4 linked regions of the Pelodiscus sinensis genome follow. The protein of the gene in region 1 purifies or fractionates together with the protein of each later gene. This does not show direct contact. Links are inferred from orthologs where the notes say so. Each region holds a gene or a part of one and is shown on either strand. Other genes may lie near its edges. The genes, in order: SLC30A4, C19H19orf25, PDS5A and CIP2A.

Region 1 (7,443 bases):
TGTAAAAAGTATGAAGTGTCTCCTAAATTTTACAAGTGTGGTATTCTGTCAGGGGAACAGGCTCAGTGTTCGAGCATATGACAGGTGCAGGGAGCACGTCTCTCTTACTTGCGCACACTCTGCCTTTTCATTGTAAGTGAATCTGAGTAATTATACAGATATTTAGACTTGACGGGGTATAGGGATGAAGAATAGCTGCCACGAGGCCCAGCAATTTAAAAGGACCCAGGGCTTCCAGCCGCCACCACCACTACATCAGCAACAGCAGCAGCCTGAGTCCCAGGCCCTTTAAGTTGCTGCCAGAGTCTTGGGTGGCAGGCACAGGGTAGCACTGAAGGACTGGCTGGGGAAAGATTAGTCTCCAGCCCCTCCCTTTCCACCTAAGGCCTCACCCGCTATGAGGACTTAGAACCAGCCTCTTTTCCCTCCCCTCCCCCCTGCCCCCCTGCCCAGCACCTTGCCTAGAGCCTGGCAAAGTCTGACCACTTAAAATAGTTGAACTTTAAACAAAAAGCTGGTCTTAATCTTATCTATTAAGATTACAGTTGCTGTTCCACTGTAATATAGTCATATGTGTATAGATTTACAGACTGCTGTATCGTGCTATTTCGGTTAAAATGTTATAGATCTCTTGAACATGAACTGGAAGAGATAACATGCTTTGATATCAAAAGAGCTCATCAGAGATCAATAAAAATTGAACTTGAAAAATGAGCTTATTACTGTTTTGAATGAATCTGTAACAGGAACAATTTTGGAGTGAAAAATCAGCATGTTTTTCCCAATTCCAACTATTAACGACGTCTGGAATTTTCAGTAAATCATATGATCAGAGTAATCCAAAATCATTTGTTGCTTTAAAACAACATACAATAGACACTTTCATGTTGCTTATAATGACAGCTTAGGATACAAAAATAACTAGTTCAGTGTAGATGTTAGTCCATTAGGGAGATGCAAAACAGGAAGCTGTAAATGACTGTAATCTTTACGGGATTTTTTTCCCTTTCAATGATAGAACTAAATTATATTGCTGAATGATGTATCTGGAAACTAATATAAATAATGACGTTTGAAGGCCCTAAAATCTTATATAGACACTGGTATTATGCTATTAAAGGGAAACAAACTGAAAATGTCTTCTTTGTTGATAAGATCCTCATAAACATCAACCAGGGAAGAGTTAATGTTGTCAGTGTCCCTTTAAACTCTTTCCTTATGCTAATTGCCTGCTGACTCCCTTTACCCTGAGCACTCTCTGGACTTTATGCTGAAATCTGTGGGTCTCAAACCAATACACAGTCTCCTTTAGCAAATAATTAAAAGAAAATTGTGTAATAAAACAGTGTCCTAAAAAAGCACAGAGGCATTTTTCCATTAACCCTTGAGAAAGTAAGAAAACCAAATCCAACTTACCTATGAGCTCTCCAATCATAAAGAATAGATAGAGAACTGCAGCCAGGGTCAGTCGTTTTTTCACCTTCCTCTGTTTTGATAGTTCCCTCTGTTTACTGCAATTGCTGCAAGGGTCTGTCCTGGAGGAGCTAGTCTGTGTGCTTCGCAAAGCAATATCCCGGTCCAGCAAAGAATCATCGTCGGACTGCAGACCTAGGTGAGCCCCATTGACAGGTATGTCTGGAGCTGCATCCGAAGTGTCATCAGAAACTACCACTCGCAACTTGTTAAACCGGGGACAGTCCTCCTCACCCACTTCTTCAGAAAAATCAAAGGCACTGGTGTCGTTCAAGAACAAGGGATCATCGTTCCTTCTCAGCATAGATTTGATGCTGCTCCAGACCTTGGACTGGGCCATAGTAACTGCAGCCAGGAGCTGGGTGTTGCTGCTTAGCTGCAGCCAATTCTCATGCAACTTCCCCTGGCAGGCAGAAATGCTTCATGTCACCGGCCATTCAGGACATTTCCTCCAAGCCTGAGGAAATCAGATAGTCACACGTTCAATTCATAAATCCAAGTGAAAATGCACCTGTGAGTGGGGGGTTATTCCAGGTAATCCTGTACTAACCAGCCCTCTTCCCGAACCTCTGACTCAGGCTGGACTGACCATCTCCAGGATACCAAACAGGCAGTAGAAGCACACACACAAAAAACCAGAATCGATTTTAAACAGCCCCGTTCGTGTCCCTCCCCTGGCCTACTCGCTGTGCAGCTGAACAGCGAGCACTGACTACAGTAGCAAAGGCGTGTTCGATACCGACCGAACCCAGCCCTCCTCGCACAGAGCACACGGGAACAAATGGTGACACTCTCCTGTTTAAAATTATGCTGAACAGCTGTTGCTCAGGAATCTCAGGTTTGCATTGCTGAAAAACACAGGCAGGTCCAACCTGTGGGAAGGGCTCAGTACCTTGGTAGGGCTAACAGCACCCCCGCCTCCATGCAATTCAGATCCCTCGGGTGTGGACTCGGGTCATTCTCTGAACTCCCTCGGAAGGGGCAGCACCTCGCCAGAAAAGGCTGCCCTGGTGCCGGGCAAAGCCAGCTTGGGACAAGCCACGGGAGGATCCGGGCTTTCCAACAGGAGCATGCAGCAATCCCTGAGTGAAGAGGGAGGAACCGCACCTCCCTCTGCAAAGCCAGCGTCGGGCGTTTACCCCTTTGCTCCCGGCTGCTGCATTTCTCTCTCTCTCGCTCGCTTTCAAGACAACCAGGCTTGCTACTGCTGCTGACTCGCCGGCCATACAGGGCGCATGCGCCGGCCCCCGTGTCGGGGCCGTGCGGGAGAGAGGCGCAGTAGCTCGGAAGGGGGCTGGCTGGGCGCATTGTTCGCATTCCTCGGTCGGCACTCAAAGTGGCGCGCGGTCTGCAGCCGCCTCTGCTATGCCGCTGGTCCCAGCCTAGCTTGGCACAAGCCCTGCGGGGTCTCCCGCTGGGCCTCTGCCTCGCCACGCGCCCGTGGTGAGCAGGCTGCTGGCTTGCACGCCGGGGACGGGGCGCAGAGAGAGAACCGCGTCGCATGTCCTGTTGTAGGCTACACAGTCTCCCTGCAAATCAAAGGGTTACACAGCGAACCCTGGGCTTGTGGCAAACTGGGAGTTGTAGGCAGCGGAGGCTCCTGGGGTCTGTAGTGAAGTTGTCTGAGATGGCTGCCTCTACAGAAAGTTACAGCTTTTCCAGTCAGGCCAGTGGTTAGATATATAACTATCGATCTCGGACCTACAGCCCAAATGTTTAAAGTGCTTTAACTCCTGATGCCTGCATGCAAATTGAGGGGCTGTGTCCTTGTTTAACTGCATGCTTGTACTTGGGTGGGATTGGTCCTGCCTTGGGCAGGGGGTGGACTTGATGACCTCCTGAGGTCTCTTCCAGTTCTATGCTTCTATGATCAAATGTCCCAAGTGGGCTGTGCCCATGGAAGCTCATGATACCATCTACATGTTTTGTTAGTTTATATAAAGTGCTACCAAACCATTTGTTGTTGTTTTTTTTTCTGTAACAGACTAACTCGGCTATCCCCTGAAGTTCCGATTTTCTAGAGGTCATCCCCTTTCATCGGTTAACCTGTTATCCCCTGGTTGCGTCTCAACTGGCATGATTTTGCGGAAATACTTTTAACAGAAAAGTTTTTCCGTTAAAAGTATTTCCGCAAAAGCGCGTCTAGATTGGCACGGATGCTTTTGCGTAAAAAGTGCTTTTGTGCAAAAGCATCTGTGGCCAGTCTAGACGCGATTTTGCGCAAGAAAGCCCCGATTGCCATTTTAGCCATCAGGGCTTTTTTGTGCAAAACAGTTCTTTCCTGTCTACACTGGCCCTCTTGCGCAAGTATTCTTGCGCAAGAGGGCTTTTTCCCGAGCAGGAAAGTATTTGCGCAAGATTTTGTACATTACAAAGTCAGTGCTCTTGCGCAAATTCAAGCGGCCAATGTAGACAGCTGGCAAGTTTTTGCGCAAAAGCGGCTCCTTTTGTGCAAAATCTTGCCAGTCTAGATGCACCCCTTATGTTTAGCTGATTAACCAGTTAAACTGGATTTTACATTCCTACTATGTGGATAGGAAAATGGCTATTCTGGGTAAGTATATTCATTAATATTTCACATATTTGTAATGTGGTTTGAAAGACTTTGGCTAAAAAAGGCACAAAATAAAACTAAATGTTCTGTTACTCTGTAACCAGTTCCTTCTATGCAAGCCCACTTTACCACACAATTTGCACACCAATAGGATTAACATAAGGACTATATATATATAAAGCCCATATTGTTTTTTGAGGTGTGGAATTTTAAGAAGCCCAGGAGTCTTGAGAGATTTGCACATATCAGAGTCCTCTTTGAGATGGCTAGACTGCTTAGTACTGAAGTCATGTAAAAAATGTCTTGAAAGTTGCATCTTGTTTCTGTTTTCCCCAGTACTTGTGGCAATAAAGGCAGGATTGTTTACATTCTGTTTCACATGCCTGTTCATCTGACCTGGCACAGTAATATAATCATTTTGCCACTTTGGGGAGCCCTCTGTGCACCACTTTCCTGACTCTACTTAATGAAGTAAGGGGTGTGAACTGCTTCCCTTTGAAGCTGAGAGCTTTGCCACTGATTTAGGGGGGAGAATACAGTCAGGTGCACCTAGCCTTTGCAGACCCCTACAGGATGCCTTGGAGTCCCACTTCCCCCCAGACTCCAGCAGCAAAAGTAGGTGCTTTAGCCTAGTCTAAAGAGGCCTCACAGAAGCAGGAAATTGGAGCCCATTAGACTCAGATAAAAAGTTTCAGAGGTTAGCAGATCAGTTTTTTTTCTGGGACAACAGGAGAGAAAAAAGGGGCTTATCTGTGGCCTGGAGATAGATAAAAGGAGCCTGCTAGGAAGAAACCCATGGAAGTAACAGCAGTTAATTAGACTAATCAGTACAGGGTTCCTGTGTGTAGGATTCTTAGGTTGGAACCTGGAGTAGTGGATGGGCTTGAGTTCCTCTGCCACCCCCAGGTAAATTGTCTTAATTTCCAAAGAGGGAACAGGGCTTAGTTGGGAACCCAAACAAAGGGCTGAATTTAAAAGGCCAGGTGCTGGGGCAGAAGACCCTAACACGGACAAACAGACTGTCTGTTTATGGGACTCTTAAATGTCCTAGGAGGGATTCATGGGACTTTTTGATTTGACTGGAGAGACAAATAACTGAAGAACCCACCAAGGGCAGAAGGGAATCTCCAGAGGTCCCAAGGAGTGGGAAAAAGACTGCAATATGGCACCCAGCAATAAAGAGGTGCTCAGGAAGTCAGTGTCACTCATCACATAGAAGAATTAGCTTCTAGGTATAAGGTTGGCAAAGCTATTAATTGTAATTAGAAAAGTAAACTTGAATATGTTACATACTGATATGTCAGTTGTATGGTGTTGTAAATAAAGGTGTTGTTGAAACTGTCATTTTTAATGTTGTATACAATACTCAGAAGCTGATATCTTAATTCTGGTGCAGCTATGGGCAGTAATTTTTGCAAGAGGGCCACTTAATTCATTTTGGTATGTGGTCATGGGCTGGCTCCACTCCCCAGAAGGGGCGGGGTCTGGGACAGAAGAGGCAGTGCTGGGGACTATCCTCCCCTCAGAATTGTCTGGGACCAGAGGCTTTGAAGTAAAAACACAGCAAAGGGTTTGTGGCTTCCGGCCACGTCACTACTGCATTGCCTGACAGCCATCCTGGGTTGCTGCAGCTGTTTAAAGGGCTCGCCGCTCTGGCCCCTACTGGGGTAGTACCACGACTGGGAGCCATGAGCCATTTAAATAGGATCCTGCTGCCTGAGACATCGCCTGGACATTTGGTGACCCGGGCAACAGGATAGAAAGCAGCCAGATGCTGTCCACGGGCTGGATCAAAGTGTTAGGCGGGCCAGATTCAGCCCCCGGGCCACATCTTGCCCAGCCTTGGCCTAGAGTGACCCCTGTTCGTCACAAAGAATCTCCATTTTGCCAACTGGGAAGTTTAATATTGGCTTCAATAGCATCAGGAACTGGCTCAGTGCCTACCAGTAAAAGCAGTGAGTTCTTCAAATACCATTGTAGACATAATTTTATTAACAGCCCTTAATGCATTTTTCATCTATGTCAAATGTTTTGCTGCACTTTCAATCATTCATTTTGCTATAAAGATACTTTGCATTTAAACAGTTTTTTCATTGCTGAAGAAGCAAAATAAATATGTAGTGTCAGGCTCTTACCCAGCAATTGACTCCACAAAGTGATTAATACAGGAATCTCCCTATGATAAGAAAATTCCTAGGTTCTGTTGTTCCTAGATTGGTGTATTATGACACCAGTAGAGCCACTGAAAGAAGGCTACCAGAAGTCCGCAGTCCTAGCTTGAACTTTTAACAGCCCTTTAACAATTGTGTTCCAGCCTGATCTCTGTAGGTAGGTCCTACCCTCCCTCTGTTCTCCACACAAATTACAATTTTATTTTCTCACTTATTTCACCATCCGTCTGCATCTCTTCCTGAACCTCCAGGTATTATAAGAATCCCAGATTCCCTTCTCTGAACCTCCAGATCTCTGTTCCCGAGCACCTACATATCAGTCTTGACCTACCCAAACAATTATTTGTATCATCTCTCTCCAGCCGATCTCTGTTATTTTCAGTCCTATCTAGGCATTAGGGAGCCAACTGCACAGGCACCTGTGCGCACGCACACATGGCTATTTTGCCTCCTTTTATTGGTTTTCATGACAGTCTGCATCTGTGAGTCTGATGGTGACTCCATCACGACACTGGAAATGATTTGGGCTCAGGGGAACAACTACACACCAGGGCTACGTCTAGACTGGCATGATTTTTCGGAAATGCTTTTAACGGAAAAGTTTTCTGTTAAAAGCATTTTCGGAAAAGCGCGTCTAGATTGGCAGGACGCTTTTCCGCAAAAGCACTTTTTGTGGAAAAGCGTCTGTGGCCAATCTAGACGCGCTTTTCCGCAAAAAAGCCCCGATCGCCATTTTCGCGATCGGGGCTTTTTTGCGGAAAGCATATCTCTGCTGTCTACACTGGCCCTTTTGCGCAAAAGTTTTTCGGAAAAAGACTTTTGCCCGAACGGGAGCAGCATAGTATTTCCGCAAAAGCACTGACAATCTTACATGAGATCGTCAGAGCTTTTGCGGAAATTCAAGCGGCCAGTGTAGACAGCTGGCAAGTTTTTCCGGAAAAGCAGCTGCTTTTCCAGAAAAAGTGGCCAGTCTAGACACAGCCCAGGAGACAGGACAGGGTATGTTCATCTCAATGTAAGGGACAACTAAAGAAGCTCATATTTACTGTTACCCCCTTTGACTTGAGTGGTTAGTTGAAGTTTGGGGCTCTCTGCCAGTGTTCCAGTGAAGAGTAGAAATTATGATGGAGCCTGGCATTTTCTTTGATGCAATCTTGTTTATGTATAAGGAAGGTACAAAGTCCTGTTTCTGTGAACATAGCAGGAATCCCCAAATAGCAGGAGGCAGTGCTTTTGTTTTCCTTT
Region 2 (7,565 bases), on another chromosome or scaffold:
CTGCGGCGTGGTCTGTAAAATGGAGACAGTACTTCCCTTATTCGGGAAGGGGGGGCAGAGGTTAGTGGGGGACCTCTAAGGGAAAGAATGATCCCAAGGACAGGTGCCCGATGTGCTAATTGTCTTTATTTTCCTCTTTGTAGCCTCCAAAGCAGCAGTGCAGCTGGGTCAAGAATCTGACAAGACCAAGTGAGGACGGAGCTCCCAGCGGCCGGCTGTTCTGATCCCCTCCCCGCCCCAACTGCAACTTCCTAGACCAAAAGCTTGAAGTGACACCCCGCTCCTCCCGGCGATAAAGCGGCAAGCCCCCTCCCATTCGCCAGCCCTTAGCGCCAACAAGCCCCTGCCGCCCAGGGCTCTGTAAGAAGCACAGACCTCCCCAAACCAAGCTCTGCAAGGGGGCGGTCCGTGCCTAGGCTCCGTGGGAACCGCTGACTTCCAATAGACAGTGTTTGGTAGTTCCTGTTTCTCAGGGCGCCTTTCTTCTGGGGGCGGGGCTTTCGGTGTCGTTTCCCCAGCGTGTTCTAGAACACGGGGTCGAAGTCGGGGTGAGGCGGGGGAGGGGTACAATCCGCTGCTGCGGGCCCTCGGGAATTCGCTGGGCTGGAGCTCAGGTTGTCTGAGCCTTGTGATCAGGGAGTCCTGTGCAAGCAGCCCCTCTGGAATATCGCCCCCCCCACCTGGGACCTGCCCCTCTAGCCTTATGGGGGCCTGCGGGCCGGGGGGGAATTGGGATGCAGTGTGACTCCGTGGGGCTGGGGGAATGACTGCACCCCAATTAACACTGGCTATGAAGCCCCCCTCCCTCGTCCCAACACAAGAGCCTCCGCAATAAGCCACAGCCCAGAAGGGAGGCGGACGTGGGTTTCGTAGCCACGGGGTCTATGCGCTGAGTCCCAGGGGTCTTTCCATGGCTCCGGCTTGGTCCGGGTTCGCTGTGGCCGGCCCAGGCCCGGCTCTCCAGTTCCCCTGGCCCAGTCTTGAGCTGCTTCTCTCGGGTCAGCGGCCCTGCTTCCCCCTTTCGCCCCGGGGCCGGCCTGCTGGGCAAAGGAGCCAGCCGTGCGAGGGCGGGGGGTGAGCTCTGAGAGAAGGCAGGTCACGCCTGGGTTCAGCGCTCTTGAAGTGCTGACTCATGATCGTCCCGGTTGCACTTCCCTGCTAGCAGTTTCATACCTGACCAAGCTGCCCTGGCAGTTCAGAGATCCTTCTCTAACTCCCCTTCGTCACTCCCTGCCCCAGCTGCCTGGGGGCCTCTGCTCCAGTCCCCACCTGGAGGGAGGCTCCAGGCCAGGAAGGGATGTGTTGGGTCTTGCACAGGTGCCAGGAATGTGGTTGGAGACAGGAGCACCAAGCCGTGATCAGCAACAGGGTCTGGGAATCACCCGTGTCCCGACAGTCTGCTTAGGTGCTGGCTGGGCCGTGCCCTTCCAGAAGTGGACAAGGGAGGGTCTCCAGCAGGGTGTTGGCTGCTTTCCTGGCCCGTTTGCTTCCCAGGGGGGTGACCCTGGGCTTTCACTACTTTGAGATCATCCTGGAATGAGTGGGGTCCGTGTATGAAAAAACCTGATCGTCTGCCTCCTCCACTCTCCCTCTGCCCTTCAGGCGTGGAACCTGCGGCCTGCCTGCGTTGGGCTCGCGGTTCTCCATCGCGCCCGCCTCCTTCGAAAATAAAACAGGCATTGATCTGATTTGCATAATCCCAGCCGCAACAAGCTGTGCATTTTGTAGAGCGCACTCGGCCTCCGTTCGGCCTCAGGGGTGACTCCATGCCCTGCCTGCTTTTTTTATTAGCAAGGAACGGTGGTTCATTCCCCGATTTATTTGTTTCTTTGTCTCCGTTGGTTGTGTCTGAGACAGAATAAAGGGGACTCTGACCGACTCTGTTCTGTGCATGGGTTTTATTTGCATTGCTTGTTCTCTTAGTGCTTGGTGATAGTCCGGGTGAAACACAGACCTGCTGAGTGCAAGGGAAGTTCCCCCTACAGCAGCTTAGAGGAGGGGCTAAAGAATCTCAGAACACTAGAACTGGAAGGGACCTCGAGAGGTCATCGAGTCCAGTCCCCTGCCCTCAGGGCAGGACCAAGCACCATCTAGACCGTCCCTGACCGGTGTCTCTCCAACCTGCTCTTAAATCTCTCCAGAGATGGAGATTCCACAATCTCCCTAGGCAATTTATTCCAATGTTTAACCACCCTGACAGTTAGGCTGCGTCTAGACTGGCAAGTTTTTCTGCAAAAGCACTTGCTTTTGCACAAAAACTTGCCAGCTGTCTACACTGGCCGCTTGCTTTTGCGCAAAAGCACTGACGTTCTACTGTCCGAAATCAGTGCTGCTTGCGCTAATGCTTTGACGTTCCCATTCGGGCAAAAGCCTTTTCCGGAAATGTTTTTGTGCAAGAGAGCCAGTGTAGACAGCTAAAAACTGTTTTGCGCAAAAAAGCCCCGATGGTAAAAATGGCGATCGGGGCTTTCTTGCGCAAAACCGTGTCTAGATTGGCACAGATGCTTTTCCGCAAAAGGTGCTTTTGTGGAAAAGCGTCCATGCCAATCTAGACGCTCTTTTCTGCAAATGCTTTTAATGGAAGTGTTTTTCCATTAAAAGCATTTGCAGAAAATCATGCCAGTCTAGACGTAGCCTTAGGAAGTATCTCCTAATGTTCAACCTAAACCTCCCTTGCTGCAGTTTAAGTCCCTTGCTTCTTGTCCTGTCCTCAGAGGCCAAGGAGAACAATTTTTCTCCCTCCTCCTTGTAACACCCTTTTAGGTATTTGAAAGCTGCTCTCATGTCCCCTCTCAGTCTTCTCTTTTCTAAACAAAACAAGCCCAATTCTTTCAGTCTTCCCTCCCAGCTCATGTTCTCTAGACCTATAACCATTCTCTGAAGACAACAGATGCCCCCTTCTGCCATAGCATCTCCACCCTATGCAGGGGGCACTTTTGGAGTAGGCAGGAGGCTCAGAAGGGAGATTAGGCCCGGACTCAGGCACTTGAGTGCCCTTGGCTTGCTTCACGTGGACAGCAGACATCCTCTGAGGGTAACCACTTAGGAATGGTCTGAATCGGCTCCAGTGTGGATGCAACGCCCCAGCGTCCGTGAGTTACTTGCTGCTTTAGCCAGGGCTGAACTTAGCCTCTCTGCTACTCGCCTTGCAGTACAGGCCGTCCCCGGGTTACATGGATCTGACTTACATTGGATCCCTACTTACAAATGGGGTGAGGCAACCCCGCACTAGCTGCTTCCCCCCAGCAGACTAGGGAGACGCGAAACTAGTACCCCCCCCCCCCAGCAGACCAGGGAGACACGAAGCTAGTGCCCCCCCAGCAGACCAGGGAGACGCGGAGCAGCTTTTCTCAGCAGACACCTCAGCTTGAGAATAAAGGACTGAGGGAAGTGAGGTGTGGGAGAATAAAACTGAGCTCTGGAGAAATGTTTGGCTAGAGTTTTCCTTACAATATGTATCAGTTCCGACTTACATACAAATTCAACTTAAGAACAAACCTACAGTCCGTATCTTGTACGTAACCCGGGGACTGCCTGTATAGAGACCAAAGGATTTGCAACTAAGTTTGTGTATCAAGTAGGGATGTAAAATCCCATTTAATCAGTTAACGGCTTAAATGAGATCCTACAGGTGGGGGCCGGCATGGTCTGCCCACAGTGGGGTGGGCTTGGCCAGGCAGGAACAGCCCCCCAGCCCGCCCCCCGTGGGCTGCTCCGGGCCCAGCTGGGCTGCCACTGGGCAGGGAACTCCTCATGTGCAGCCCAGGCACTCCATGCGGCAGGTGGGCGGGGAGCTGCACTGACCCTGCTAGCCATAGGTGAGTTGTGGTAGCATGTTTAAGGTGCACCGCCCCCCATGCTCCTGCCAAAGTTGTAATTGTCAATGGGGTGCCCCTACATGCCTCCGCCCCTGCTGGCTCCAGTCACCTATATATGTGCTGCTGTCCCGGCTAGCGGCCCTCAGATCACATACACAGAGAACAAGGAGTCTGCTCTACAGCCTTAGCTGCCGGGGCGGAGATTCCTGCACGAGGTGCCAGAGGTCCCAGGTTTGCTTCTGTTACGGGGGGTCCCCCAGCCCATGTCAAACGTGCTGCCTCAAGGCACAAGTCCCTGCCTCCCACTCACAAGCTGCCCACGGCTTTGCAATGGGGCGCTGTGCTCACCTCCCCCGTGCAATGCACGAGCTGGGGGAGGGAGCAGGGATGGAGCAGCTGCTGGGGGAGGAGGAGCTCAGGGTGCAGGGCAGCGTTCCCTGTAAGCTGGGTGCTCACCACTCAGAAGAGTCCAATGCCCCTGGCTGATTAGCAGGGCGCCCGCAGCCGGCAGCCTGTGTGTCTCCCGGTGGTGCACATGCCTGCGTGCACAGAACAAAATTTATTCTGCACGTGGATGGGAAGGATTGGAGGGAACCCTGGTGCGGGGGGGGGGGCAGAGTGCGGGTCTGAGGGGCTGTGGCTGAGTCACCTTCTCCCTCCCCTTCCCCGCCCCTCCGCGGTGCCAGCGAGCGGAGCGCGGCCCCTTTAAGGGGGGGGGCGGAACGCCAATGACGCGGCGGGGAGGAACCGGAAGTGGGGCCTGCAGTGGTTCTGGGCCGTGGGCGGGGCTACGGTGGCCGGCTGGGAAGGGGGAAGCCGCGTCCGCAGCCAGGTGGACGTGTAGGTGGGTGGGCACGTGGGGCGCGTCCGCTGGGGGGCGGGGCGGGGCGGGGCGGCGGCTATATGGTGGGGGGGAGCAAAGGGGGCGGGGCTATATGGTGGGGGGAGCAAAGGGGGCGGGGCTATATGGCCGGGGGGGATAGCAAAGGGGGTGGGGGCTATATGGTCAGGGGGGTAGCGAAGGGGGCAGGGCTATATGGCCGGGGGGGGAGCAAAGGGGGCAGGGCTATATGGCTGGGGAGTAGCAAAGGGGGCAGGGCTATATGGTCAGGGGGGTAGCGAAGGGGGCAGGGCTATATGGTCGGGGGGGGTAGCAAAGGGGGCAGGGCTATATGGCCGGGGGGGGGGAGCAAAGGGGGCAGGGCTATATGGCCGGGGGGGGAGCGAAGGGGGCAGGGCTATATGGTCGGGGGGGGGTAGCAAAGGGGGCAGGGCTATATGGCCGGGGGGGGGGAGCAAAGGGGGCAGGGCTATATGGCCGGGGGGGGAGCAAAGGGGGCAGGGCTATATGGCTGGGGAGTAGCAAAGGGGGCAGGGCTATATGGTCAGGGGGGTAGCGAAGGGGGCAGGGCTATATGGTCGGGGGGGGGTAGCAAAGGGGGCAGGGCTATATGGTCGGGGGGGGGTAGCAAAGGGGGCAGGGCTATATGGCCGGGGGGGGGGGGAGCAAAGGGGGCAGGGCTATATGGCCGGGGGGGGGGGGGAGCAAAGGGGGCAGGGCTATATGGCCGGGGGGGGGGGGGAGCAAAGGGGGCAGGGTTATATGGTCATGGGGGGTAGGATGTGCAGTGCAGGGTAGGAACAGGGGCAGAGATCTGGCACGTGGGGCGGGTAGGAATGGGGGAGTGGATAGGCGCTACTAGAAGGAGATAGGAAGGGGTGGGGGTGTATGGTCTGAGGCGGGGGTAGAAATGGTCAGGGATCTGGCATGCGCGGGGGGGTGTCTAGCAATGGGGGTGGGGGCCAGGGATTAAGGGGTGTATAGCCAGTCGCAGGGAAGGGGTGCAGCAGCATCTCAGCGGGCAGGAACGTCACTGCCTCTGCCTCTCTTCATGCCTGCTCTAGGATGCCTGTTTCGGAGGCGGAAGAGTGATGAGCTCCAAGGGCAAGAAGCGGGTGGTTCTGCCGACCCGGCCCGAGCCACCCAGTGTGGAACAGATTCTCGAGGACCTCAGCAGCGCCCAGCCATCCGATCCCATGTTTGTCCTTCTAGCAGAGACCAACAAAGGTAGGAGAATGCATCCCAGCTCGTTACCCTGGAGTCCCGGCGAGTGCATTCAGTAGGAATTCTACCCAGCCAGCCTCTCCAGTCTTAGCTATGCATTACGACTTCTCCTTCAGTGAACATTGCATTCCTGCGCCTTGAACGGTGCTGCCACCCTGCCAGTTTGTTGGCTTGAATGCCATGAGTTGTGGAGTCCTGTTCTTGGAGGACACCTCTTAATAGCCTCAAAGCCGCACCTGTGCTTGGTGTCTGCTCCGAAATGTACATTAGGGTTTGTCTATGCTACCGGACAGCTCGATGGGCAGCAATCGATTCAGCAGGTGTCGATTTATCACATCTCGTGTAGTACATTGACTTCAGCTACTTATTCCCGTAGCTGATATTGCGTAACTTAGATCCATCCCCCCCGATAGCGTAGACCAGCCCTTAGCTTTGTGTTCAAAGACTATCCCTTGTTGTTCTCTGTCTCTTCCTCCCACGTTTCCCCTCCCCAGACTTGCCAGCCCCTGGCAGGAAGGAGGACCCTGAAGTGAAGCGAGAGTGCCTGTACCAGCAGAGTCATTCTTACGTGGAGATGACCCAGCGGCTGCAGAAAGCCTGTAGTCTGCTGAAGGAGAAATGCGAAGAGCTGAAGCAGGCGGGCGTGACTTTGGAACAGAACGTCATGGAAATTAGGGAAAAGGCTTTGTGAGGCGGTTTGGTCTTTGAGGAGACTGGGCTGGCTTTTTGTCTATGCTCCTGGAGGGCCTGCCCTCGACAATAAAAAGCCCCCCCTCCTAGTCCTGAACCAATGCTCAATGTGGCTCAGATTTTCACAGACCTCCCCAGGGTGGCGTCTTGCTTTGGAATCCAAATCCGAAGCCCAGAAAGCCACCCACCCACGTAACGCCGGCGTGTGCTTTGATTTAATGGAGGATCTGGAGCTACTGCTGGCATGACGTCCCCCATCCCCTCTGGGTTTACATATGACTTCTCCCTCTGGTACTGCCCCCACGACGATGAAATTGCGTCCTGCATCTCCGCCATGCTGCACGAGCAAGGCTTCCGGGGTTACGCCGAGCACCAGGACCAGGTGGCAGGCACCTCCGTCCTCATGACGGCCACCGAGGTCATCCAGGCGAGCAGGGTCGCTATCGTCATCCTGTCGGCCCGGTCGCTGGCGGACCCCTGGTGTCAGCGCGTCTTGGAGTGGAACCTGCACCATGTGATCGAGCAGGAGGGGACGAAGATGATCCCGGTGTACGTGGACGTCAAGAAAGAGCAGGTGCCGCTGGTGTTAAGGCATCTGAACGAACTCTGCTACAAACAAGCCTTCTTTAAGCGGAGGCTGCTGGAGAGCTTGAAAGCCCTCAGGCCTCCCGCTGGCCGAGCGAGGGCCGAGCGCGCCTCCAAAGCGACCTGTGTGAAAAGCAGGGTCAGCCGATAGCAAGTGGGGCTAAGTACAGGTGGGACCTCCCTGGTCCGGCACCCTTGCGACCTGACTGGTACCGGATGAGGGATTTTGCCAGACCAAGGGAGGTCATTTCTGGCCCCATCCCCTGTCTTGCCCCTCCCTCCCCACTGGCTTCCTCCTGCCCCATCCCAGTTGAGCCACATGCTGGCTCCCGGGCCCCACCCTTACCCAGCCCAGCTGAGCTGTATGCCAGGCTCTCCGCCCCCAGCTGAGCCCCAGATGTGCTGTG
Region 3 (7,382 bases), on another chromosome or scaffold:
AGGGGTGTAGAAAGGAGTGAGGGTGCAAGGTCAGGCTAGGGGGCAGGAGAGGACTGGGGGCTTGCTATCTGGCCAGGGAGGATTTTGGACAGGGGGCAGGCTGACTGGCCAGGAGGCTGGGGTGTCTGCTGGGGGCAGAGGGGATTTTGGCCAGGCGACTGGAGGCAAGGGGTGTCTGGCCAGGAGGGATTTTGGCCAGGGAGCAGGGTGACTGGCCAAGGAACTCGGGTTGTCTGGCCAGGGGCAGATAGGGTTGCCAGGTGTCCCGTATTCACCCGGACAGTCTGGTATTTTCACCTCCTGTCCAGTAAAAAAAAATTCAGAGAATACTGGACACCTGAGATATCAGGTGTCCGATATTTTCTGAATTTTTCCCGGGTCAGGAGTCAAAAATGCCAGGAACCTGGCAACCCTACAAACACTCAGCCCCTGCTTCCCCCCCACCATCCCTGGCCCCCAAAACTCCCAGCCCCCATGCTTACCTGGTTCCCCAGGGTTGCCAGCACAAAATGGCGTCAGGCCAAAAGACCTAGGGGAATCAATGCTTCCCCTGGGTCTTAGTGCTCAACCACTCCCCTGCACTCACTCTTAAAGGGGACATGCTGTTTTAATGCTGTTTTGTTTTTTGTTTACTAAGTCTTGGAGTCCTTCCCCCCCCCCTCAACAACTTGGATCCCCCCCCTTTTCTTTTCCTTCAACAGAATTTTTTCCCAGTGATTTTTCTCTTAGGGGGGCGGTGTTCGTTATTTTTGTTTCAACTATCTGGCAACCCTGGGGGCAGAGGGGATTTTAGTCAGGGGGTGTCCGGCCAGGAGTGGGGAGACGGGTTGGTTGGCCAGGGGGCAGTGGGTGTCTGGCCAGGAGGCAGGGGAGATTTTGGCCTGGGGGCAGGAGATTTTGGCCTGGGGGCAGGAGAGTTTGGACTGGGGGAAGGTGGCTGGCTCTGGGAGTGAGCGTGTGAGGGGCACTTACTTGTTTTCGCACCATGCGGCAAGCACTGTGTAACATGCCACCCGCTGCTCCCTTTTGCCAGCAGAAAGCCTCCGGGAAGGGTTGCAGGGAACACTGCAGGAAGCATGTCCCAAGGGAACAAATTAGCAGTACACAGGGAGCCATCTTTGGTTACTGGTTTCCCCCACGCTGGGGGGAAGGAAAAGTGTCACACCAAGCCATGGTTAGCTGTTTGTTCCCTGCATGCTGCATCTGCTGGGGAGCCTGGGCGCTCTGTCCCCCACACTGGTGTTCTAGTCTTGCAGGGACCATAAGGCTGTAGCATCAGCACTGACTCCATGCTTCAGGTAGAGCAAGGGAGCAGGGGCTGAGTTGGGGCTGCAGAAGAGCCATATCTGGCTCACAAGCCATAGGTTGCCGACTCCTGCCCTATGGACTTTGTTCCTCACAACAGCAGCCCCTCCCTTTGCACCTTATGGAAAACTGTCCTTTTCCCGGGGCTCCGATTGTTCTGGCACAACCAAACTCTGTTCTTATTTTAAGTTAGAAGATGAGGAAGCTGTATACTAAATTTGGTGGCCTTAGCTCTTACCATTTAGGAGGAGTTCATGAACAAAAAGACTCGTACGCTGACAGATATATTCCAATATATATGCATGCTTTTAGAGGCTATATATGTTCCAGCAAGCAATGCTCCATCTTGTTCTTCAGCAAAAGAGACGGACAGCTAGCCTTATCTTGTATACTCTGCATTTTGTTTACTCCTAATTTAGACCAAACTAATTGGTAAGGACTTGGGCCTAATTTTTTACCCTTCTATCTCATGATCTGTCAAATCAATATTTCTTGGTTTCTTTAGATGGAGTTACTGGAAAAAGTTATAACCATAGAATGAATCTAATACCAAAAAAGTGGAGTGCAACATTGTTCTCTCACACAAATAAGATAAAGTGAAATTGTGGACAAATAGCAGTGGGTTCAGTGATAAACTGCTTCTGAAGATCAGTAAGAGACTTTTTTCTTTTAAAGAAAAACACCAAACATTAGAAACCCAAGAAATTCAGAGTTAAGGTTGCACTTCCCTACCATGACACCCAAACTATTTTACTCTGCCTCCGTAAATATGCCAGATTACTCTTTTGTATGTTGGGTATAAAAAAGTGCACCAATGAGCATTGTAACTTTCTTGTGTAAGCACATGCTGACCTACATCCTCATTTACTTACCATCCTAAATGATTCACACAGTTTTTGTACATGTACATCATATTTTGTTTTCCTATCTATAGATAGGTATTCCAGTTTGTTTTTAACTTATAATTTTGATTCAAATATATTAAAAATAATTAAATGGATAAGCACCTTATTTGTCCGTCTAATTTGGGGAGCAATGTATAAGGAGCAGGAATGGAAATTAAGAACTCTAAACATTTAAAAAAAAACCCCACAATTCATTCATGTCCATATCAATTCAAAAAAAAATAATTGTGACCATATTTTTGTATCCTGTTATTGTTAGTGAAATGTGACTGCTAGTACTGAAATGTTCCAATAGTATGTCCAGCAGTATTAGCTGTAGTATATTTCTAATGGTGCCTCTTAAGTTTGCTTTGGGTAAAAACAATTGAAGTACATTCTACTGGTTTCTTTGGGATGACGTTTTTATAACCTGGTCTTGTAGCTCACTGTGTAGTTACCAATATGTTACAACTAGACCCAGTAGTGGCAGTCTGGGTGCTTCTGATCCAAATGGGTCTGGGTGGAGTCTAGTTACTGTTTCTAGCTTTGGGAATATCTGTTCAGACCTCTTGTTGGACACCTTGAGTAGAGATTTTAAAATGTGCTTAATTAATTCACTGCATAACATGAAAAGGTCAGTGGTTACATGCACCTGCCACCTCTGGTGCAGAAGAGGTAGGGGAACAGTTCCCTTCTCACAGGTACCAGGCTTTTAAGTTGGCTCCCCACAGTACACGGTTACTTTTTCACATCTTTAGCACAGAGCAGTCCATTCTTGCATAGACCTGCTTCTCTGCTGTGTACTAAACAGAGAATCTCCAGCCTCCATTTGGTTGTGCTTGTCTCATCCCCTCATGTAAGGACACTGAATTAAAAAAAAACCTTCATTCCATGGGCATGGCCCTAGATTGCAGGGTTGACTGCTTCTCAATAATAAGTTTTCAACAGTGTCAAGAACTTTTGCATGAAAGGGGAACAGTCCGAGAAGTGGAATAGTTTAGACGTGTTCAGCACATTAGCAGTTTTTAATTTGACAAAGACATATCCTATTGTTACAGACCTAACCAAAATGTGTTCAATTTCTAGGAAACAATAGATGAAAGACTATTAAACAGCTATAACTTTTCTTGAGCTCATTCACAAGCCCTCATTCTCTCTGTATTGCTCCTGAAGCCCTGTATCTGTGATGAGAGCTAAGACTTTCTAGCTGACAATGTCATGTTTGACAAATAAGTTGACTACAACTTATATGCTATATTTTAAAACTGTAGATATTGCTTCCCTTCTCCTACCCAATCTCTGTTACTTTGCCTGTCTAAAGCTTGGAAGTTAGTTGGACAAGGTTCTGGCTACTTATCTGATTAGCCATGGGTGCTACTGGAAATAGATCAAATATGGGAAAACTCCTTGCACCAATCAGAACTTAACAGCTGCAAGTAAAGTCAAGTAGAAGGCAAACATGAGTGTTCAAAAGTTAGTTGAGACCAAAAGGAAAATGCTGTTCAGCAAAATCATTTGGAGTCTTTCGCTGAGGTGCTTTCACTAGGGTGCACTTCTTTCTGGGCCAGCTTGTATGGAGAACAAACGTGTGACACGCAAGGGATTAACTCATACTGGGGAAGTTACTAACTAGCACAGTAACTAGAAGCTTGGGAGCGAGAGAGCTGGAATCGCGGGAAGGCGCTGGGCCCAGGCCAGCAAGTGAGGTAGCACCTGCGCACAGGCCAAGCTGACAGTGAGCGTCCTGCCCCAGAGCTCACAACCGAGCTAAAAGGCAAAGGGTTCGGGGTCCGCTCCGCCCCGGCAGGATTCCCGCGGATTTCCTCTTGCTCCTAGCTCGCCCTGCAGTGACCCGCCGCCCTGTTACTTTGAAACTGGCCCCGGAGGCAGCATAGCCTTGCTGGAGAGGGCAGTGGCCGAGCAGGGATTCTCGCCCGCCTATCAGAGTCGTTTAAGCGCAGCCCGGCCAGCTGGCGAGGCGGGAGGCACAGGCAGGATCCCATGCCACATCTCGTCGCTACCCTCGAGAGTTGGGGGGCGGCTGTGCCTGTGGCCCTGACAGGCCGACCCTGCTCAAGCTGCCAGTCCCAGCTTGCCCACTCGCCTCCCCCCTTCCCTGCCCGGCGGGATCAGCCGGCTCGGAGCTGCTGCTGATTTTGGCGCCAAGCGAGAGGCGGCGCTGCCGCGGCCGTGCCCGGTACCGCCTACCCCGCTGCCGCCCTGCCTGAGCAGGGCACAAGGCGCGAGGGAGACGAGCTGGGAGCGGGTTCTGCTGCTAGGGTGGGGCAGGGGGATCCCGGCTGGGCGGCGCTGGGCCAAGCCCCGGGGTGGGGAGGGGGGGAAGAGTAGTGTGGAGCCTCCTCCTGGGCTGTTCTTCCCCGGCCGGACGGAGAGCGGCACTGTGTCCCCGCGGCGCGGCGCACGCTCCGCCTGAGCCGCCCCCTCTCACCCCCGCTCCTGCCGCCGCCGAGCAGCCTCCCCCCCACCTCTCCTGGGCAGCTGCCGCCGCACCGCGGAGCAAGGAGGCAGCAGGAGCAGCTAGGGCGCCGGCCGGCCGGCAGTGGCGGAGTAGCAGCAACAACACCCACCCGGCACGGAGGCTACTCAATGCTGCACCTTCCGGAGCTGCATGAGGTAAAGGCGGCTCCGGGTCCCGCTTTCCTCCTCCTCCCCTCCCCGCGGCAGTGCTGGGGGGGCTCTTTGTAGGCTTCGCAGAGCTAGTTGGGTGAGGGGCTCCGGGGCGAGATGAGGGGCTGGCGCCGAGGGTACCTGAAGTTGAAAGAACAAATGTAAAGTGGAGACTGGCCTGGTCCCCTCTCGAGGGGGGCTGCTTTCCTCTCGGGGGGGGCAAGGGTCAGGTAGGGGGCTCAGTGCATGGCTGCGCGGGGCCGGCCGGCGGCAGCGAGGTTTTGTTTGGGATCCTAGCCACCTCCTCTCCTCCGGCTGGTCTCTGCCTCCTGATAGTTTTGAGGCCTAACTGCTTAGGCCTCGTCTCCCAGCTCTGAGGCTTCTGTGACGGCCTCAAAGACCCGCTGGGACCAGGATTTTGTCCTCACCGACCCCGCTCAGGCTATAATGGGCTTTAAACTCGAGGCATCCTTTGGTTTGGGTTAAAATTTCATTGTAAAATCTGAGACTGCAAACTAATAATGTTGGGCTGGAGGAACCTCACACTGAAAGGAGACACCAGAGGAGGGTGGAGAGGTAGAAGTTTTGGGATGAGAGGTGGCTTAGTGAGGGGCTTCCGAAGCCCTGCTCAAGGGGTGGGGGTGCAGGATGTTTGCCCTCTTGATATTAAGTGGGGCCTTCTGTGAATTGAGGTTTAGAAATGGAAAAAGAGGGCTGAAAGTAGTCTCTGTTCCGCTGAACTTTTGTTTTCTGACCGATAGAGGCCGGTAGAGGACTGTGGAGAAGGAAAGTTTATAACTGGCGGCATAAGGATGGACTTTCCTACTACCCAGCCAAAACCTTCTGCCGATGGTAAGATCATCTACTATCCTCCCGGAGTAAAGGAGATCACAGACAAAATTACCAACGATGAGGTGGTCAAACGGTTGAAGGTAAGTGCCTCTTCCCCTCACCTCTTATTAATCTAAAATGAACTGTTGAATAATCAATGTTCTAATTTGTGTGTTCTAGAATATTTTAATTTGACATGAAATAAACTACCCATAAGGGGTGAGTGGTGGAAATGGGTATATGGATTACAGGAAGCAAAAATTTGTTTTTAAATGTAACAGTTATTGAAAGTTCCAGGGTTTTGAAAAAGATGCCATAGTCCATGGCACTGCCATTGTGGGAGTTGATTATAGAAAACTGGCCATTATTGATTATGAAGTTATTTCTCATTAATTTAAAGCACATGTTATAAACATAGAACTGCATTTCCAGAGTTGCACAACTAAACTTTGGAATATTTTTGTGCAGCCTGCTGCTTAAATTGCGTAAAAATTGCAGCATTTTGTGTTCAAGCTATTTAGGGCTTATTTACTCTTAGAGCTAATTCAGATTAAGGTAGCATGTGGATTTAGAATGAAATAGCTGTTCTGGAATAATTCCATGCATAGATAAGACCATAGTGTAGATAAAGTCACAAAGTTGTTACTTTTTCATAAGGAAGAGGGATTGTCACAAACATGTTTTTTTTTTTTCTTCCTTTTTTTGTTTTTGTTTTTGTGGACTCAGGGGTTTACAGATGGCTTTAAACCATTTTTTTCAGTGCAGAACGTACAGATTTACCTTGTTAACTTTTATGCCATGGTATATTGAATGTATGCTGAAAATAGAGAATAAAATCAGGTATTAATGAAATATCAGTGTTACTCTATTGATAGCATTGTGGTCTTTGTATTCAAGTCTTAAGCTAGGATTTGGGTCCATGTTTAGGATATATTGTATACTGTGTAGTACTAGGAGGGTTTTGTCTAATCTGATTTTTATGGCTCCCATCACTGTAGTAACTGTGTCTGACAGTATTGAAAAATAGAACTAATAAATTATTCTTTAATTCTGTAGAAGTAGTAACTTGATTAGTTTTATAGTTGATATGAAAAAATGTTTTTTGTATATATTAAAAATGTATTTAAGAAATAAGTTTTGTATTTTAATTCTGGAAGTGGCAAGCCTGCAGTTCTCTTGCATACGTGAGTTCCATAATTTAGTTCCAGTCTTGTGAAAGCTCTGTTGCTTGCATTCATGAGGCTCATAAAAAGTTTTTTTTTCTATTGTTCCAGTGGAACATAATTGTGGAGGGTCATGATTATAGAGGAAATGTCTCAAGGTTGAGTTTGGCTAACATCTCCAAAGGACTTTGAATGTTAGGACAGAGATCATGAACTGGAATTTGTAGAGAATGGGTGAGCTAGCATAGTGTGTGGAAAACATGAGTAAAGTGTTTATGTTCGACTATATTTTTCAAGGGTGTGCATTCCTAGATAATTTGTAGGATCAAGCTTTGAAGTCATGAATGCATAGATCACTGTGGCCACATCTGTGTCTGATGAGATATGGCATATTTTTCTGGACAGTAGTAGATGGAAGATGTCTTTCTCCTCCCTTTCCCTCTCCTGTAAGAAAGCATGATATTTTAAAAACAAACATAAATCTGCTTCCAGTGGAGTTCTTAAAAAAAACACATCATTACAATTTAGGCATAAATTAACCAGACTGTGTCCCTTGAAGCTGAGGGCTCTG
Region 4 (7,127 bases), on another chromosome or scaffold:
TGGTACTGCTAAAGACTTATTTTGAGGACTGCAAGTTTCTACAAAGATGCATTTAAGAACAGTTTGATTGTTTTTATATTTAACATTTGTTTTGAGAATTGCATTTGTCGCATGCATTTAAAACAGAAAACAAATGACTCTGTGGTGCCTACATTTCTTTTTTTTTTTAACAAGAGTTGACTTTAAATAATTAAACCAGGGATCTGCTTATTATACATTTTTCTTCTGAAGGTCACCATTTGTGGAAATAGTGTGACATTTTTACTGCTTCAGGTAACATACTAGATAATTGTGAATTTTGACTACTGGCTCATTGTAAATTTAAAGGGCTGGTCCTTCCACATTTTGTAAGCCGGGGTGGGCAATAATTTGTGATGGGGAGGCCACGCCAAGATTTTGGTAAGTGGCCAAGGGTGACACTTTTTTGTGGAGGGGCTGTGGGGTCTGGGTGCAGAAGGGAGCTAGGGATAGCAGACTGGGGTACAAGAAAGGATTCTGGCCTGGGGAAGGGGCATAGAGAGGGTGCAGGGTCTGGAAGGGAGTTGAGGGGAGGAAGGGGCTGGGTGCCAAAGGCAGGCTCTGGCCGGGAGGTGCTTAACTAAGCTGTGCACGTGGTTCTCTGCACTGCCAGAAAGGGAGCGGGGAAGGGAGAGGATTCATTTGCTGCCTCCCCAGCAAAATCTTTTAGCTCCTATTGGCTGATTTCAGGCGGCAGGGGCAGCATGCTGAAGCCTCTCCCCACAGCACAGAGAGCAACACAGAGCAGCTAGCCACTTTTATTGGTGCTGTTCCCGGCTACAGGAATAGACTTGGACCAGATCACAGGGCTTGGCAGGCCGAATCCACCCGACGGGCCATATCTTGCCTACCCCTGTTGTAACTGAAGGGTATTTGCAGTGTTGTGATACAAACAGGTGTTTAAAGTAATCCTTTCACCTCCAAGAAGATTAGTAGACAGCCACAACATTGATTTGCATGGGAAAGTAAGTTGTTGCCCAAGGGAGAAAAAGTGGTTTGGTGTTGTAGGAAAAATCTTAAAGAAATACAGGTATTATTGCTTTATATTAGAGCTCGACAGCCTCCTCCCCATTCTAACATCAATTATCTGAATAAAGTTCATTAACTTTGCTCTTCCTACAGATATCTTTATGGGACATTTTTTTATGATTATATTAAATCAACACAAGCCTGAATAAGAAAAACAGTGTTGAAAATCAGTTTTCATTCTGGGGACTCTAGCTTGAAAGTCCCAGAGAATTAACACTCTCTTTACTTGACTCTTCACTAGCTGCAGAACCACTTCAGCACAGGAAACCACAAGTGTCTTTACCCCAATGTACTTTAACTCTAACTTAGAGGGCCACTTCTGAATCAAAATGGCAGTTAGATTTCCTGTTCAACTTTTAGCCAGTGCCCAGTGGGCCAGTCATTAAGTGAAATTGTTTTTCTGAGATAAACACTTATATTCTAGAGCAGAACTAACATAGTGTTATTTCACCCAGGCTACTAAACAACTTCAGGGTGGTTATGATTGTTGGTCATTAGGAGTATGTCTACATTACAGGACAAAGTTGAATTAAGATACGCAAGTTCTGCTACATCAATTGCATAGCTGAAGTAGCTTAACTTGGCTTTTGGCGCTGTATACACAGCAGGAAGTCAAAAAGGACACTCTTCCTTCGACTTCCCTTACTCCTCATGAAAGCAGTTACCAGCATCGACCAGCATCAGAGTGCCCCTCTCACTTCAAATTAGCTCTCTTAACTAGACCGCTAATTCAAACCTGGAAGATTGACAGTGGTAACTTCAGTCTTCCTCTGTAGTGTAGTCGTACCTTAGGTGACCTAGAGATAAAGGGCGTTTGTATGTTCTCTTATTATCAGTGCTTTAAGTGTGCCATGTCACAGACCCAAAATAATATTGCTACAGTCTGAGCCAGGTAGCAATGCAGACTTCAGACCTGTTTGAGGGAAAACCTTGCTGATTTCATTGGCTGCCTGCCCTTCTTGCCTATATCTGGAATGAAGAACAAGTGATCAGAACTGCTGCAGAAAGGAGAAGAAAACTCTGTCTCGTTCCTCTCAGGAGTCCAAGTGGCTTTCAAAGGAAGTGAGAAAAAGGAGCAGAACCCCGCCCTCCTGTGAACCAGACAGGAGGGCTCGTCTTCTCATCTCTCTTCCCTACTGAACCTTGCCTTAAACGGGTCCAGTTATGACATTTTGGGGATCAACCCCGATGAGTGAGGGGGCTATCATCTTGCCCTGCAATCTGGGATGCTTCATAATACTTTGCTGCTAGACCACTCACTAGCAGCCAAATAGCAGGCAGCTCACGCCCTGAGGCTATGTCTAGACTACATTCCTTTTTTGTAAAAGGGTTGTAAATTAGACGTATCGCAATTGCTAATGAAGCGGGGATTTAAATCTCCCCTGCTCCATTAGCATAAAAATGACTGCCGCTTTTTTTCTGCACGAAGCTTTCCCGGAAAAAAGTGCCTGTCTAGACGCTGATCTTGCAGAAAATAAAGCCTTTTCCAAAAGATTCCTTATCCCTCTATGAAATAAGGGAAATATTTCATCCAGCGCGTTATTACGCAAGAAGGGCCATGCTTCTGCAGAGCGTCCCCACTATCCACTCGCTCTTGCATAAGAAGATTTACAGTAAAGCGTGGTAAAAGAGGGCTTCTTGTGCAAGAGCTACGCTCTTTTCTAACAGATGTAAATCCTCTTGCACAAGAGCTCTTGTGCAAGAGGGCAGAGTGGATGCACGACAGGGGTTTCTTGTGCAAAAAAGCCCTAAGGCTAAAAGAGCCATCAGAGCTTTCTTGCACAAGAGAGTGTCTTCACTGCCATGGATGCTCTTGCGCAAAAGCATATCTTGCATATGGGAGTGTGGACGTGTTCTTGCGCAAGAGTTCTTGCTCAACCCTTGAGCAAGAACCCTTGAGCAAGATGTTCTTTCGCAAGAAGCTGCCAGTGTAAACATAGCCCTTGAGTCCTCACTCATACCTTTGCCTTCTCTGTGCCCCACTCCCACCCCTTTGGAGCCAGTGTTGGGGAGAACAGGCTTTTAAACCAGCTCTTCCCCCCCAGCACCAGCTCCTGCTTTCTCAGCATGGGGACAATGTGACAGTTAGGAGTGTGGGTGGTAACAGAAGCATCTTAACCCACTTCTTCAGATGAGTGGAACGTGCCCACAAAAGCTCATGCTACTATATAGGCTATGTCTACACTGGTGGGTTCTTGCGCAAGAACAGCTGTTCTTCCACACAGCATCCATGCTGCCCGCCTGCTCTCGTGCAAGATTTAAAGTTAAGCATGGTAAGAGAGGGATTCTTGCGCAAGAGCTACTCTCTTTTCTACCAAGTGTAACAAGACCCCTTATGCAAGACGGCAGTGTGGATGCACGGCAGGGGGTTCTTGCGCAAGAAAGCCCTATGACTAAAATGGCCATCAGAGCTTTCTTGTGCAGGAGAGCATCCACACTACCATGGATGCTCTTGCGCAAAAGTACATGGCAGAGTGGATATGTTTACACAAAAACATCTTGCACAAGAACCCGCCAGTGTAGACATAGCCAAGCAATCCCTGCTCACCCCAGGTCCTGACTGCTGCGCTTCCACCTTTTAATTATAGTAAGAGTTGCATGGGCAGGTCTTACTACATTTAAAAGGCAGGGGCACAGCGGGGATAGCGAACGCCCCACCTCACGCCCTTATGGACTAATCCGGTAGTAGTGGGTGGACATCCCAACTGCACCATTAGCTGACGAATCAAAATGTAACATCCCGCCCCAGGACACCCATCCGGTCTCTTGCTCTTCCAGGACAGCCTGGGGCAGGGGCTGCAGCTCCCAGGCACCCTCCGTGCCAGCTGGCTGGAGCAGGGGGTCTGCATTGCTGCTACTGCCAGCACCAGGGCAGGAACTGGGGGATGCTGCCCCCCCCCCTTGCAGTGGTTTCCCCATAGGCAGAGCCTAGAGTTGGGTTCATTGGCTCTCAGCAAACGCCCCGCCCACTGACCCCAGCGCAGCCCAATAGCGACAAAGCGCCCAGGCAGCAGCAAGGCAGAGCCCCGCCCCCCGCTGAGCCACCGCGCTCCCAGCATGCCCCGCGGCGGGGAGACTGGTTCCTCCCAGTCCTGTGAGCCGAGCTCTCAGGTCACCCGCCCCGAGCGTCATGGCGACCGCCTCAGTCCGCGCCGCTCCCGGCATGCACCGCGCGGGGGAGGGGCCGCTGGCTCTGCGGGCTCGTAGCTAAGATGGCGGCTCGGGCGCCAAATACGATTGCGACTCGGCTGCGCGCGTGAGGCGCCGGGCGGGCGGCATGGAGGCCGCGGCCTGCTTGAAGTCCCTGCTGCTGGCCGCCGCCCAGTACCGGGCCGCCAGGAGCGAGCCCCACGCGGCGCTGCTGCAGCGCAGCCTGGAGGTGAGCGCGCGGCCGGCGGCGTCACGCCCCTTGCTCAGGCTCGCCCGCCCCCACGGGGGGGGGGGAATTACTGTGGGTCCTACCGTAACGGGCGCGTGTTTTCTTAGAGCCCGGGGGGCTTTTAAAAAAAAACGATGCTGGGAGGCGCGGGGCTTGGCAAAGCTACAGCAGCTGGATCCCCCCCCCCCCCCCCCCGCGACACTCAGCTCGAGCCCCCGCCCCGCGCCCTTTGGCTCTGGAACTCAGGGGCGGTTGCAGAGGCAACGAGGGAGGAGGGGGGGGCTCAGTGGTTTGAGCATTGGCCTGCTAGACCCAGGGTTGTGAGTTCAATCCTTGAGGGGGCCGTTTAGCAACCTGGGGCAAATCTGTCAGGGGTGGTACTTGGTCCCTCCCTCTGCAGCATCATCTCGTTCTGGATTTGGCTGCTGGTCTCATTACATCGCTGCCTTGGAAATCGCACTTCTTGGATGTATTTATTGTTGGTCTTGCTTCTGGGGGCCCCGACGTGACGCTACAGAAGTAACTTGCACGACGGGGAGCTTTTTTCTGTTTCTAGTCAATTTATCTTTTCAGATATGGTCACTGTGTTGCTTTTCCTGTGTAGTAAGTAAATTGGTTCTGTTGCTCCTTTAGACACAGGAACCGAGTAAAGGAAAACGCTATTTTATATACACTTGCACTCTGCCACCTGCCTAGACCTGCCCCCCCCTCCCCCAGCCCTCTCCTGCACCCAACCTCCTGGCCAGGCACTCCCCCCTCCTTCAGCCCACTCCTTCATCCTTTCAGGCCCCCCACTTCTCAGCCGGCTCTTACACCCTACCAGACCCTGTGCCCCCCATCTCTATCCTACTCCCCAGCAGTCCAGTACTGTACACTAAATCCTTTACTCCAGAACCTAGGAGGGCCCAAAAAAGTACCAGTTCTGGGACTCCAGAAGAGTTAGTCTGGCCCATGAAAATCCCTGAATTTCTGTCCTCCCTATCCTCCTCCCCTTCTCCCTCCACCCCCTCCCCCCGGAAAGATAAGAAATGTATGTTTTTTTAAAATATAAAGGACACTACAGTAATGAAAAACATATTTCCAGAATTCTAAAAATTCAACAAAAGTGAGCTTGAAAAAGGCAAATAAAAATGTCAGTGTGCTGTTAGTGATGCTAGAGTTATTGACAGTATTATCTTTTCAGTTCAGTGCAACTTAGGGATGTTAAATTTCAACTAATTAACAGAATAGTCGATGGAATTTCCATCAATTATTTGATGAGTCGATAAGGACTTCTGCGTTCTGCCTTTGAAATGTACAAGAGCACCAGGAGGGGCTCTTGTCCATTTCAAAGATTGAAATGCTGTGTGGAGGCCAGGGCCACTAGGGAGTCCCGGATAGTGGACTAGTTACTTACATCCCTAGTATAACTACCTTCTCAATCTTGTGTTGAAATGAGACAAATATGGTTGTAGCTATATTAATAGTTACTCTAACATGTCTTTTAGGTTATCTCTGGATTGAAGCTAACGAGATTGTTTGCATCAAACCAAATACTGCCTAACGAATGTCTGAGCTGTCTAATAGAGCTCATCGAGGACCCAAATATAAGTCCATGTCTAACATTGTCTGTGATTACTTTGTTGTCACAACTAGGTAATTTATTTACATCTAACTTTTCTTTTAAGAGAATTAAAGCTCATTTTTCAAACATTTTTAATAAATCTTAAAACAGTTTGAATCAGTGACAGGTTGCATGCAGAAGTGAGTTATCTGCTATATTATCTGTGCAAATTGCATTGATTTTAGGGATGGGGAATTAACTGCGTGCTGGAGAAAAATTACCAAGAATTTAGTTTTCTATTTTATTCCTGGCAATGTCTAATGTCTTGCATTTTATGGGATCACAGAAATTGCCAAACTGAATAATAAAAAAGCCATCTGATTTAGTTCCCATACCAGATGCTTCAGAAGACTATGTAAAAGCTTTTTTGCTTGACTGCTATCTAATATACCCATATAGGAGAATTTTGATCCTAAATCCATACAGTCAGTGGTTGTCTTAACATTCAAAACATATGATGGTGTGTATCTCTTTCTCTACATCAACCTCGCTTATGTAACCGGTGAATGACACATGGCAATATTAATTTTCTTTGATAGTTGCTTTCCCTTTGAGATGCTTCCCGGTTGCAGTCAGCAGAAGTGACTGAGATATGAAACAGAATGCAGGGCATTTGTTACAGGGATGCATTTTGGAACTTGCTCCAGGCTTATTCAAGCCAATCTCCAGGATCTGCTTGAAGGGTGATCTTTTCTCTCTGGTCCATGAAAGTCAGGAAATAAATTAAGTTGCAGAGTATTGGAAGTGGGCTGCCCATTTTAGGTTTATTACGTCTGGGTGTATGTTGCAGTGATAAGGGGTAGTTAATCTGTTTTTAAAGGATCTTTATGGGTTCCTAAAATGTAGCAGTAATGTAGGTGAAATGCCTATATTAAGCTTATTAAATTATTTTGTAAGTTTCTTGTACTCTATCCAAGGGTGATAAGTCATGGTTGGAGGTAGTTATGAGAATGAGTAGTTTATAATGGCAGTGATTTCCTTTATAAAAGTCTGCTTGTTTACTCAATAGTGTGACTAGTTCTATCTTGAGGTGCGTTTGATTTGTGAGTAAACTGAGTTTTGAGGTCCCCCATTTCCCATCTTACTGGGGAAAACTGC

The links.
Region 2: the proteins of SLC30A4 (region 1) and C19H19orf25 purify together in Homo sapiens (affinity purification with mass spectrometry; 3 studies listed by BioGRID and IntAct, counting the BioPlex papers as one, with this or other methods). This does not show direct contact. The link is inferred for Pelodiscus sinensis from reciprocal best matches to the Homo sapiens genes SLC30A4 and C19orf25.
Region 3: the proteins of SLC30A4 (region 1) and PDS5A purify together in Homo sapiens (affinity purification with mass spectrometry; 3 studies listed by BioGRID and IntAct, counting the BioPlex papers as one, with this or other methods). This does not show direct contact. The link is inferred for Pelodiscus sinensis from reciprocal best matches to the Homo sapiens genes SLC30A4 and PDS5A.
Region 4: the proteins of SLC30A4 (region 1) and CIP2A purify together in Homo sapiens (affinity purification with mass spectrometry; 3 studies listed by BioGRID and IntAct, counting the BioPlex papers as one, with this or other methods). This does not show direct contact. The link is inferred for Pelodiscus sinensis from reciprocal best matches to the Homo sapiens genes SLC30A4 and CIP2A.

What each region holds. Positions count from the first base shown.
Region 1 is NC_134724.1:21,136,978-21,144,420, reverse strand, and holds the start of SLC30A4 (putative proton-coupled zinc antiporter SLC30A4), read right to left. Parts: upstream 3,017-7,443; 5' UTR 2,613-3,016; exon of another isoform or gene 2,366-2,612; intron 1,931-2,365; 5' UTR 1,814-1,930; coding exon 1,417-1,813; intron 1-1,416. UniProt on the Homo sapiens protein: Probable proton-coupled zinc ion antiporter mediating zinc import from cytoplasm potentially into the endocytic compartment. Controls zinc deposition in milk.
Region 2 is NC_134729.1:17,423,371-17,430,935, reverse strand, and holds the start of C19H19orf25 (UPF0449 protein C19orf25 homolog), read left to right. Parts: upstream 1-4,553; 5' UTR 4,554-4,662; intron 4,663-5,723; 5' UTR 5,724-5,750; coding exon 5,751-5,886; intron 5,887-6,377; coding exon 6,378-6,574; 3' UTR 6,575-7,565. Other genes in the region: REEP6 (receptor expression-enhancing protein 6), read left to right, coding at 144-193.
Region 3 is NC_134715.1:92,597,951-92,605,332, forward strand, and holds the start of PDS5A (sister chromatid cohesion protein PDS5 homolog A), read left to right. Parts: upstream 1-4,368; 5' UTR 4,369-4,796; coding exon 4,797-4,823; intron 4,824-4,859; exon of another isoform or gene 4,860-4,978; intron 4,979-5,578; coding exon 5,579-5,749; intron 5,750-7,382. UniProt on the Homo sapiens protein: Probable regulator of sister chromatid cohesion in mitosis which may stabilize cohesin complex association with chromatin. May couple sister chromatid cohesion during mitosis to DNA replication.
Region 4 is NC_134711.1:155,149,135-155,156,261, reverse strand, and holds the start of CIP2A (protein CIP2A), read left to right. Parts: upstream 1-4,124; 5' UTR 4,125-4,324; coding exon 4,325-4,426; intron 4,427-4,509; exon of another isoform or gene 4,510-4,599; intron 4,600-5,913; coding exon 5,914-6,061; intron 6,062-7,127.